Coturnix japonica: one gene and its partners. The protein of the gene in region 2 interacts with the protein of the main gene of each other region in a biochemical or structural test. Links are inferred from orthologs where the notes say so. Each region holds a gene or a part of one and is shown on either strand. Other genes may lie near its edges.

The links.
Region 1: the proteins of SLC9A3R1 (region 2) and CFTR form a complex in vitro, tested with the Homo sapiens proteins (9 studies listed by BioGRID and IntAct, with this or other methods). The link is inferred for Coturnix japonica from reciprocal best matches to the Homo sapiens genes NHERF1 and CFTR.
Region 3: the proteins of SLC9A3R1 (region 2) and PDGFRB form a complex in vitro, tested with the Homo sapiens proteins (2 studies listed by BioGRID and IntAct, with this or other methods). The link is inferred for Coturnix japonica from reciprocal best matches to the Homo sapiens genes NHERF1 and PDGFRB.

The regions. Positions count from the first base shown.
Region 1 is NC_029516.1:22,050,258-22,054,301, reverse strand, and holds the end of CFTR (cystic fibrosis transmembrane conductance regulator), read left to right. Parts: intron 1-1,497; coding exon 1,498-1,670; intron 1,671-2,547; coding exon 2,548-2,653; intron 2,654-2,982; coding exon 2,983-3,189; 3' UTR 3,190-3,544; downstream 3,545-4,044. UniProt on the Homo sapiens protein: Epithelial ion channel that plays an important role in the regulation of epithelial ion and water transport and fluid homeostasis. Mediates the transport of chloride ions across the cell membrane.
Region 2 is NC_029533.1:9,149,675-9,151,894, reverse strand, and holds part of SLC9A3R1 (Na(+)/H(+) exchange regulatory cofactor NHE-RF1), read right to left. Parts: intron 1,025-2,220; coding exon 866-1,024; intron 424-865; coding exon 270-423; intron 1-269. UniProt on the Homo sapiens protein: Scaffold protein that connects plasma membrane proteins with members of the ezrin/moesin/radixin family and thereby helps to link them to the actin cytoskeleton and to regulate their surface expression. Necessary for recycling of internalized ADRB2.
Region 3 is NC_029528.1:4,805,063-4,808,562, forward strand, and holds part of PDGFRB (platelet-derived growth factor receptor beta), read right to left. Parts: intron 2,625-3,500; coding exon 2,502-2,624; intron 1,259-2,501; coding exon 1,147-1,258; intron 840-1,146; coding exon 740-839; intron 636-739; coding exon 530-635; intron 61-529; coding exon 1-60. UniProt on the Homo sapiens protein: Tyrosine-protein kinase that acts as a cell-surface receptor for homodimeric PDGFB and PDGFD and for heterodimers formed by PDGFA and PDGFB, and plays an essential role in the regulation of embryonic development, cell proliferation, survival, differentiation, chemotaxis and migration.

The DNA of each region.
Region 1 (4,044 bases), on a different chromosome or scaffold from region 2:
TGCTACAAGAGACAGCAAAGCAGTGCTGTGCTTCTCTGATGCCCTGAGACTGGGGGGGATTAATATTCCCTCTCCTGAATAAAAGTGAGTTCTAGTTCTGCTCTGGAGGGTGGTGTGTGAGAGCCAACCCTGGGACTTTAAAGAGCTAAACCTTATTCGAAACAGTGAGAAATTGGAACTATTTATCACTGAGGAGTTTGGCGAATCCAAATGTAACAACACCGAGTTCTTCAGTGAATTGGCAAGAGAATGCAAAGCAAATACAACAGAGCCGTTAATACTTTTCAGTAGGAGTGATGTGATTGTTTACACAGCTCACACTCCTCAAATCTGGCTCAGTGCAGGCAATGAGTCAGCGTGACTTCGGGAGCGCAGCATGGGAAGAAAGCAGACAACCAGCTTCACCCTGACCCACAGGCTGCTGAGGGCTTAGACAGTACTGCCACTATCGGTGCCACCTTTTAAGCTCCTTGTGTTGGGCTGCAGATGCAAGGTGCTGTCTGAACAAACGTCAGGTGTTTCACTTCCATTGCCCCAGTATTTCAGCGCTTGACTGTCACACTTGTGTTAATGTGGGGACTAGGTTTTCCTCGGGTACTCAGCTGTTTGAACCTCACACAGTTTTATGAAGAAAGCAACATCTCCAACTGAAAACCTGCTGCATAATTTCATTGAAGGGCAAATGTTATACTTGAAAGAGGAGTGATGGACAATGCAGTGACTTTGATTTCCTTATAAATAGCAGTATAAACTTCAAAAATACGACATGTAAGCTGTGAGGGTGCACTGCACATTTATCATGTATTTTGGAGCAGTGCATCTTTCAGATGTTTCCCAGTTCTCATGTTTTACAAATGCTGCTCTGGAAGTGCCAGGCAGCACAGTCGCCAGTGAGCTGGGGGTTGGCCTCATCTCTCGTGTCATTAGTGATAGGACCAGAGGGAATGGTTTCAAGCTGTGGCAGGGGAGATTCAGGCTGGACATTAGGAAGTATTACTTCTCAGAAAGGGTGGTCAGGCACTGGAATGCACTGCCCAGGGAGGTGGTGGAGTCACCGACCATGGGGGTGTTCAGGAAAGACTGGATGTTGTGTTGAGGGACGTGGTTTAGTGGGAGCTATTAGTAATAGGTGAACAGGTGGACTGGATGATCTTTTAGGTCTTTTCCAACCTTGGTAATTCTGTGATTCTATGATTCTAAGTTCTGAGCACATGGCTGTCTCTCCTAACTCAGTGTTTGGGTGGAAATGCCAGAAGTCACTGTATGTGACATACAAACAGAGCATTAACTCTCAGCTTCCCACTGTAAATCCTGGCCCGTGGTGTGGTTCAGCTTTTCACACCATCCAGGCAGCAGCCGTTGTAGGACAGACACTCGTTTTTATCCATCTGTATTTTCTGTTCAGGAGCAAAAACAAGACAAAAGAAGGTATTGCTCATCATACCCGCAGTCAGCAGTAACTGTGCCTCATCCATTTCTCCTTTTTCTCTCTGGCAGGTTGGGCTGAAGTCTGTGATTGAACAGTTCCCGGGCCAGCTGGATTTTGTTCTTGTGGATGGAGGCTGTGTCCTCAGCCATGGGCACAAGCAGTTGATGTGCCTTGCCCGTTCTGTTCTCAGTAAGGCTAAAATCCTGCTGCTGGACGAGCCCAGTGCTCACCTGGACCCCATGTACGTTTTGTTCACGTGTTCTAATATGAAATCCCAAAATCGGTGAGGCAGCACCCCCTAAAGAAACCTTCAGTAACTCCTCAGGTCTTGTACTAAGCCTGATTTCAGCTTTGGGAACAGATTTCAGCTTTTCCCTTGGGGAAAAGGGATGCACTCAACGTGTCACCTTGGAGTTGTACACTTTCTGAGCTGGCTTCCAGCAGTGAGCAACTCACTTCTGCTGTGTCAGCTGCAGCTCAGCCATGCTGGCTGTCCTGCTTTGGCTGGGCTACGTGAAGGAGGGAGAGGGACACGCAGTGACGGCTGCTGGGCTGTCCTCAGGGCACTGATCATGCTTGGTCCACACAAGGTCCATGGCCTTGTGTGTGAGGGCCAGAAATCAGGCAGTATCAAATGCAGGGCTCAGAAAGTTCAGATGTTCTTCAGTCTCTGCTCAGTGCCTGCTGTAACTCACTGTTCCTTGTTGTTGTGTTACCATCACAGTGCAAGGTAACAGAAATGCTCCAGCATGGTGGGTGCTGTAACCGTTAACAAATGGGAGTAACTCCAAACCCCAAATCTTACATCAGACTGGGATTTATCACCATGAGTTCAGCACTCCAAGCTGACTTATCTCCAGCCCGGACAGCAAGAGCGTAATTTAGGTCCAGAGAATGCCTGTGCTGTGTGGCATGGTTAGAGATGGTGGTATTTCTGCATGGAGTGTCAGAGAAGTTCAGTTACACCTTCACATTGGAGCAATGAGTGCTTTCCCAGTGGAGCTGCAACATGCTGAGCACCACAGCATGCAGCTGAATGACTGGAAACCACAAATGCAGTTATGGGCTGTGAGTGCTGTGTGTTGCAGTCTGAGTGCCAATGATTATTTGCCTTGCAGAACTTCCCAGGTGATCAGGAAAACGCTGAAGCACGCATTTGCAGACTGCACTGTGATCCTTTCCGAGCACAGGCTGGAGGCCATCCTGGAGTGCCAGCGGTTCCTGGTGAGCATCTTCCCCCATCTCCTGCCCTGCTGTTTTGTTACATTTGACAAGTCTTAGGTTGCCTTGGGTTGAAAGGGACCTTGAAGACCACCAGTCCCAGCCCCCTGCCGTGCTTTACCAGGGCCAGGGCAGGAATGGCCGCACTTCTTGAGCAACAGGGGGAAAAGGTTTTCTGAGGAAATATCTGGCGGTCAGAATCGTTGATGTCATTTATAAGGACATCTGTATATTGCATTATGGTGTGAGCTGGGCTGTGAGGGGTCAGCCGGGCGGGTGTCCCGGCACCTCCTGTGGCCACCGCCCATCGGAGGGGTGCGATGTTCCCGCAGGTGATCGAGGACAACAAGATGCGGCAGTACGAGTCCATTCAGAAGCTGCTGAGCGAGAAGAGCTCGCTGCGTCAGGCCATCAGCCACGCCGACCGCCTCAAGCTGCTGCCCGCGCACCGCCGCAACTCCAGCAAGCGCAAGCCCAGGCCGCAGATCTGCGCGTTGCAGGAGGAGACGGAGGAGGAGGTGCAGGAGACGAGGCTGTGAGCAGCACCGGCACCTCCCGGCCCTAATTCACCTCCCCCCGCCATGTGGCGGTGCGGCTCGGCTCGGTACCGCCCGGAGCGGCGCTGCCCCGCTCTGCGATCCGGGCTCCGCGTTCTCCTCAGCTCGGCGGTTCACAGACTTTCAAAGCGATTTTTATACTCTTCTTGGATTGCAGTTTTATGATGAACTTTCTCCAGGATATGTTATTTATTTTAATATTGTCGCCAACGTTTGTTAAGGAAATGATGTATTTTAAAAGAAGTGATTCTGTACTATAAAGAAAAAATATATTTGTACAAAAACTTGTGTATTGGGACGGTGTTTGGCCTTGGGTGCCGCATTGCCCGCACACAAACAAGGCGCAGCTTCGGGCCGGAGCAAACAGCCCACAGCAACCTGCCGTCCCACACAGCCTGGGGCCGCTCCTACACCGACCCTATAACCGACCCTATAACCGACCCTATAACCGACCCTATAACCGACCCTATAACCGACCCTATAGCGGGTCTGCGTCCTCCCTGCGCTGCCTCCCGCCAGCAGGGGGCGCTGCGGGGCCGGCTCCGCTCCTCCCGCCCAGCCGTATCCATGTGCAGGTCCCTGTCCCTGCCTGTCAGTCTGCTTTACTTCACACACACTGGATAAAACAAACCCCTCCAATGGTTCTTTGTTACCCAAAGCACACTGCATGCAGTAAGACCAAGGAGCGGGCTGAGTCCGGCACTAATAGGAAGATTTAATTTTGCAGCCTGAGGGGAAAAAGCCAAAATGATTAAAGAGAAATTGCCCTGCAAGGATCTGCATCTCCCCTGAAGTACAGAGGAAGAGGGCAGCCAGAAATGGCTCACTCAGCACCAA
Region 2 (2,220 bases):
TCCGGGGCAGCCAACGTGGGCTGCATCCTGCCACCATCAGGGCAGGGAGGGGGCCAAGGCTGAGCCGAGGCTGGAGCAAAGTGAAGGACAACCACACACCCTCCGTTCGCTCCCTGAGCCATAAGCCCTGTCAAAGTGTAAACCACAGGGCAATAAACCCTGCCCAGCACACACCCCACAGCCACGTGCCAGCTGTGGGCCGGGCAGGAAGGCGCCGACCAACCCCCATCCCAGCACAATGGGATCCCCATGCCTGGCACCGGACCCACCTGCCAGGTGCATCTCCGAGGGCACCACCCTGCACTTCTTGAAGAACTCATCAGCCAGCACGCCCACCACCAGCAGCTTGGTCTCATCGCCGCCCGCCTTGATGGCCGCCACCACATCCGCGTGCTGTTTGCCCTCCACGGGCGTCCCATTCACCTGTGGGTGTCACGGAGATAACGGACATTCCTCAGCCCCCCGCGGATGCCCGGAGACGTGCAGGGATTAGCAGCACAACCTCATTAAAAGCAGATTTTCTCAGAGCGATTAGCACAGGGCTGCACGGGGAGCGGGGCAGTGCCAGGAGATGACGGCACAGGGCGGCTGACCCCAGCACGGCGAGCACGGGCAGCCCTGGACCCACACAGCCACCACACACCCTCACGTCTGTGCCCTCCCATCCCAGGACAGCGGTGCTGCACGGGGTGACAGGTTGATGAGCAGCACGGCTGCACCCAGGGGTGGGATGGCTCTGCTCTGAGTCACCGCCAGCACTCAGGGCAGGGGGTGCCCCAGAGGAGCAGCTCCTGGGCGCTGCCCGCCCATCCCGTATCTCAGGGACACACCATGCTGCTGGCCTCCCATTGACCCCATCACCCACCTCAACAATGCGGTCCTGGGCTCGCAGCCCCGCCGCCTCAGCCGGTGAGTCGGGGTCCACAGCACGAACATACTGCCCAGGGCGGCTCTTCTCACTGTGCAGGTTGAAGCCGTACCCGTTGGGGCCCTTCTTGATGTGGCACAGCCGGGGACGCAGCTCCTGCGAGGGGACAGTGAAGGGATGGCTGTGAGATGGCGGCTCTCAGCCCTCACCCTGCTATGGCACAGGGCTGCAGACCCATGAAATTCACAATTGTGGGCACCTCCAGCTGGGCATGGAGACCAGAACAGACCGTGAGCCCCAGCCCTGCCTGGTTAGGTGCAGAACATGGTAACTATGGTGTTCCATTACGGAAGCCTGTTATTACACACATCCTCAGATCGGGCTCTTCCTTTTGGGATTAAGATTGCCCAGTGAAGGCAGAGGAGGAAGCAGCCTGGATGGAGGGCAGGCACCCACCTTCACCCTATGCCAACAGGTCCCACCTCCTGCAGACACAAAGACCACATCATCCCCCATCTGGGGGTGGCACCAAAGGGACCCCAGGTACTCACAGAGCAGCACCCACACTGAGCAGCCCAACCTATGGCTGCAGCAAACCAGGACCTGCAGGAGCAGGGCAGCAGCACGTGGGGCGTTCACCTCCTGGTGGCACCACCCCAGCCTGACTCAGTGTCCAACTGTTCATAGTTGTAGATTCATGGGATCATTAAGGTTGGAAAAGACCACTAAGATCATCAATCCAACCCCTCCCCAGTGACCACATCCCTCAGTGCCACATCTCCACGGAGCTGAGCACCCCCAGAGGGCTCCCCTGCTCCACTGTGAGCCCCTGGGTGAAGAAATGGTTCCTGATGCCCAACCTGAGTCCCCGGCACAGTGTAAAACCATCACCTCTCATCCTACTCACATAATACATGCATAGTGATACTGTCTTGATCGTTAGCCCCCGATCAGCGGTAGGGATTTCCCAGTGACAAAAGTCACACTGGAGTTCCTAAAATATCCCTCACCACGGGGTTTCATCACTTATCCTTCCCTTCGTCTGTCCTACTTTGGTACCCAAACCATCCCTGGGGACAGGCAGGAATTCCCCTCGTGCGTGCCCTGCGCTGCTCCTTACCCACAGCACACCCACATCACACCACGAAACTCCCTTGGCCAGCAATGATCCTGGGCTGGCACCAAGGACAGACACAGGGCGCTGCCGAGGGTGACACATTGGAGCAGCCACGCAATGAGAACAGCCTGTGTGACAGCCCCACAGCTGCTATCAGCCCCGTCCCCGTTGCACAACACCGTGGGGTCAAGGCTCACCAACGCCCAGCTGGGGACCAAAGGTTACGGCAGGACGT
Region 3 (3,500 bases), on a different chromosome or scaffold from region 2:
TGTGCGAACAACAGCAGGGTGGTCGCTCTTCATGAACTCTTCATCCACCTGCTGGTACCTCTGCTCTCGCAGGTTACCAGAAAAACAGGAAGGTCTTGTGAGCGGAGAAAACACACAGATGTGTTTGCTTTCCCTGACTGCCAAGCTTCCTTCCCCAGGGGCTGACATCTAGCTGCATTCAGCTACCCTGACTCCACCACAGACACATCGTGAATGTTTCCTATATGAGTGATCAGCAGCACAATTCCATGGTTCCAAAGCATCAGTCAGCAACAGGCGTCTGATCTTCAGCCAGTTCTGATCTCTGCCATTGCTGACAAACCAGCTGCCTGATGAGGACAGCTGTCTCACAACATCCCCAGCATTCCCAAATCACCTCCTCTGGCCGTTTAAATGAATGTAGCTCAAATCACAGCAAAATGCTCCAGCTCAGCAGCTAATGATGATTAATCAGGGCCTCCAAAACTTCATCCAATGCCGTAAAACCAAGGTGGCATCCCTTCAAAGAGCACTGACCCTTTGCACATACCTTTCTGTAGCAATCCACCAAGAGGTTTCCCATCAGCACCACCAGCTGTGAGAAGGACGGTCTGATCTCAAACTTCTCCTCCCAGCACTTCTGCATGATTTCGTAGCTAACAAAATGGAAGAAAGGGCACGTTGGTGACTTATCAGGGAAAACTGCTCCTGTCCTTTCTGCAGAGCAGGCCCAGGGTTAACACGTGCAGGCAGCACTTACATTTCATCAGAAGCATGGGTAGGTTTGGACATCCGATAGCCACGTTTGATGGCATTGTAGAACTGTTCATTCATAGGCAGTTCAGGGTAGGGAGTCCCTCCTGGAGTAAAGGGAGAGCAGGGAATCAGGCTGATGTAGAGCCTGCCACCCCCACACCAACATGCTTTTCACACCAAGGTTTCCTCTGCTTGCTTTTTGTTTTTCAATTTACCTTTCCTGTTTCATTTGGCTTCCAAGTGGCCACGTCAGCATGGGAAAAAAGGAGACACTGAGTGAAGTGCTACTCTGATGCTGGTAGAGTTGGGACTTGGGGATTAGGATGGATTTCTACCCTCTGCATTTAGGAAAGGATCCTGCTAAAGTGCCACCATTTCTGTGGACACAACCGTGATCTCCAGGACACTTACCTAGAGTGAATATTTCCCAGAGAAGAATCCCAAAGGACCACACATCACTTAGGGTGGTGTAGAGGTTGTTGAAAATGCTCTCTGGGGCCATCCACTTAAGGGGCAAGAAGGTCTGTGAGGAAAAATTGCAATGAGAAGAGAGTTAGCTGCATCTGCAAGCAGAGAGGAGCTCTTGGAGCTGCCTGACAGCCCCAAATATCTGCTGACCAACACTTCTTGGAGGGATCCATTTTCTCTTTCTTACTGCAGGACAAACCCAGCAAGCAGGAGGGAAGAACGGGTGTGCTACATCCATTTCTATCATACAGAACAGCCTGTCTGCTATAATGAGCTGTCACAGTGTGCATCTCTGTTCCCCAGCCCTTGGGATGAGTTCACTGATTGCACAGCATGACCACAGAACTCCCAGAGGGAGTCCAGAACTATCTGCGCTCTGGAAACCTAAGGCTAAGCTGGAGTGGGCTACGGGACAACCAGGAAAGAGCAGAAGCTTCAGCTTTTCCTGTTCCTACTCACATGGCGATACACTAAAATGAGCCTCACTCAATCAGTGTGTGCAGCACTGACTGTGCTGTTCCAGAGATCCGCTTGCATAACAAATACCAAAATAATCTCCAGGAAGAACTGCAAAGAGGCCCAGTTTCATTTCTTGTTTCATAAGGAAAAGAAGCCATATCAAGGCTGGACTGGAAAATCACAGTCTCTCTGCAGAGAGGTCCCCTGGCCAATATGCTCAACATCTGGCTGCCATGCCATGCAAATGGGACAAATCAGGGGGGAAGCTGAGTAGTTCATCGAGTAGATAAAGACAGTTTTGAGGGGCCTGGCACCACTCTCAGCTCCCTCAGACTCAGTTTTCCTATCTGCCAAATGAAGCCAGTTACACATCCTGCTCTGCTTAGGCTTGTGCATCCCCAGCTCCTCAGTGCTGGAGCAGACACACTCCTGTTGAAAGCACAGGTAAGCTCAATAACAGCCCCATCCTCTCTTGCCTCAAAAGACTGGAGATGCCTTTCTGGAAAGTAGCTGCCTGCAGGAAAGCACTTCCTCTTACCCTGTGGTCTGCTGGTTACAGCAGAAGGCTGCGGACATCTTCCCAGAGTGGCCAGTGACTCACTGCACCGCTGCCAAGCTGCCTAACTTTGCATTCCTCCTGCCTGCAGCTGAGGACCAGGCTCAGCACCATGCAGACATCAAGTGCACGATGGTTGGCTGGTGATGGTTGACACCATCAGCTGGGAATGCTGCTGTGTCACCACCTCTGGGCACAGCAACAGACAGGGGGCTTGCAGGGGAGCACGGTGCCAGGCCCAGAGCCCTACAGAGAAGGGGATGATGTGGCTCCGGGTACTCACGCTGCCTTTGGAGATGTAGTTGGAATCCCTCATGATATCTCTTGCCAGACCAAAGTCACAGATCTTCACCAGCTTCCCCTCACAGATGAGGACGTTCCTGGCAGCCAGGTCACGATGCACACACTGCAGGAGGCAGGGCACTGTCATTGGGAGCAGCCCCAAATGGCACAGAGAAGAAGCCCAGCTTCAGCACTAGCCCATTTCTTTTGCTGCAGGGACAGGAGTCATCTCCTTCACCTTTATAGACCTATATAGCTCAAAGCCACTAGAAGGACTACCTTATTTTTGTTGCTTACTGAAACAGACACACTGGAAAGGGCCTTATGTTTGCCAGACACTAACAGTTAGAACAGTAATGTTACCCTATTGCAAAGTAAGATTGTGTAAATTTGGAGCTCCCCTTCTATGCTCCATGGGATAGCACTGACTGTAACTCTTGGAGATCACACTGGCTGGCTGGAGGCAAAGAGCCAGAATTTTTCTCTGCATGTCATTCATACAATCCCCACCCTGTCTCTCATCCCTGCCCTGCATGATGTTTCATTGAGAGACTATGTTACTGACTATCCTAGGCTAAGCCAGATCTTAGGAATCCCCCACAGCCTGGTCCACTCCATTGGCTTAATTACCACTGAACAAGCACTTCTTAAGAGGCTTTGGGAGCTTATAGCATGTGGGGCAATGTGAATGTCCAACGAGAGTTGCAGCTTTGCTCTGGACTGCCCTTTGTTTAGCACAGCAAGGCTATCTGTTTGCAGCCGGTCATCCCAGTAAAGGAGGGTGACGTAACACCACAGCTGTGCTGCACAGGGCTTGGGAGGAGCTCAGAGTCATGGAATCTGAGGTGTGAAACTTGGTCTGTTGGTAGCTGGCATGCAAGTACAATCACACTGATCCTCAGGGCTATATCTCCAAAGGAAAGTGGTTGGCAGCCCTTCCACTGCATGGCCACTTGTCCCTCAAGGAGGTCAGTGTGGACAGAGGGACAATGAGATGAAG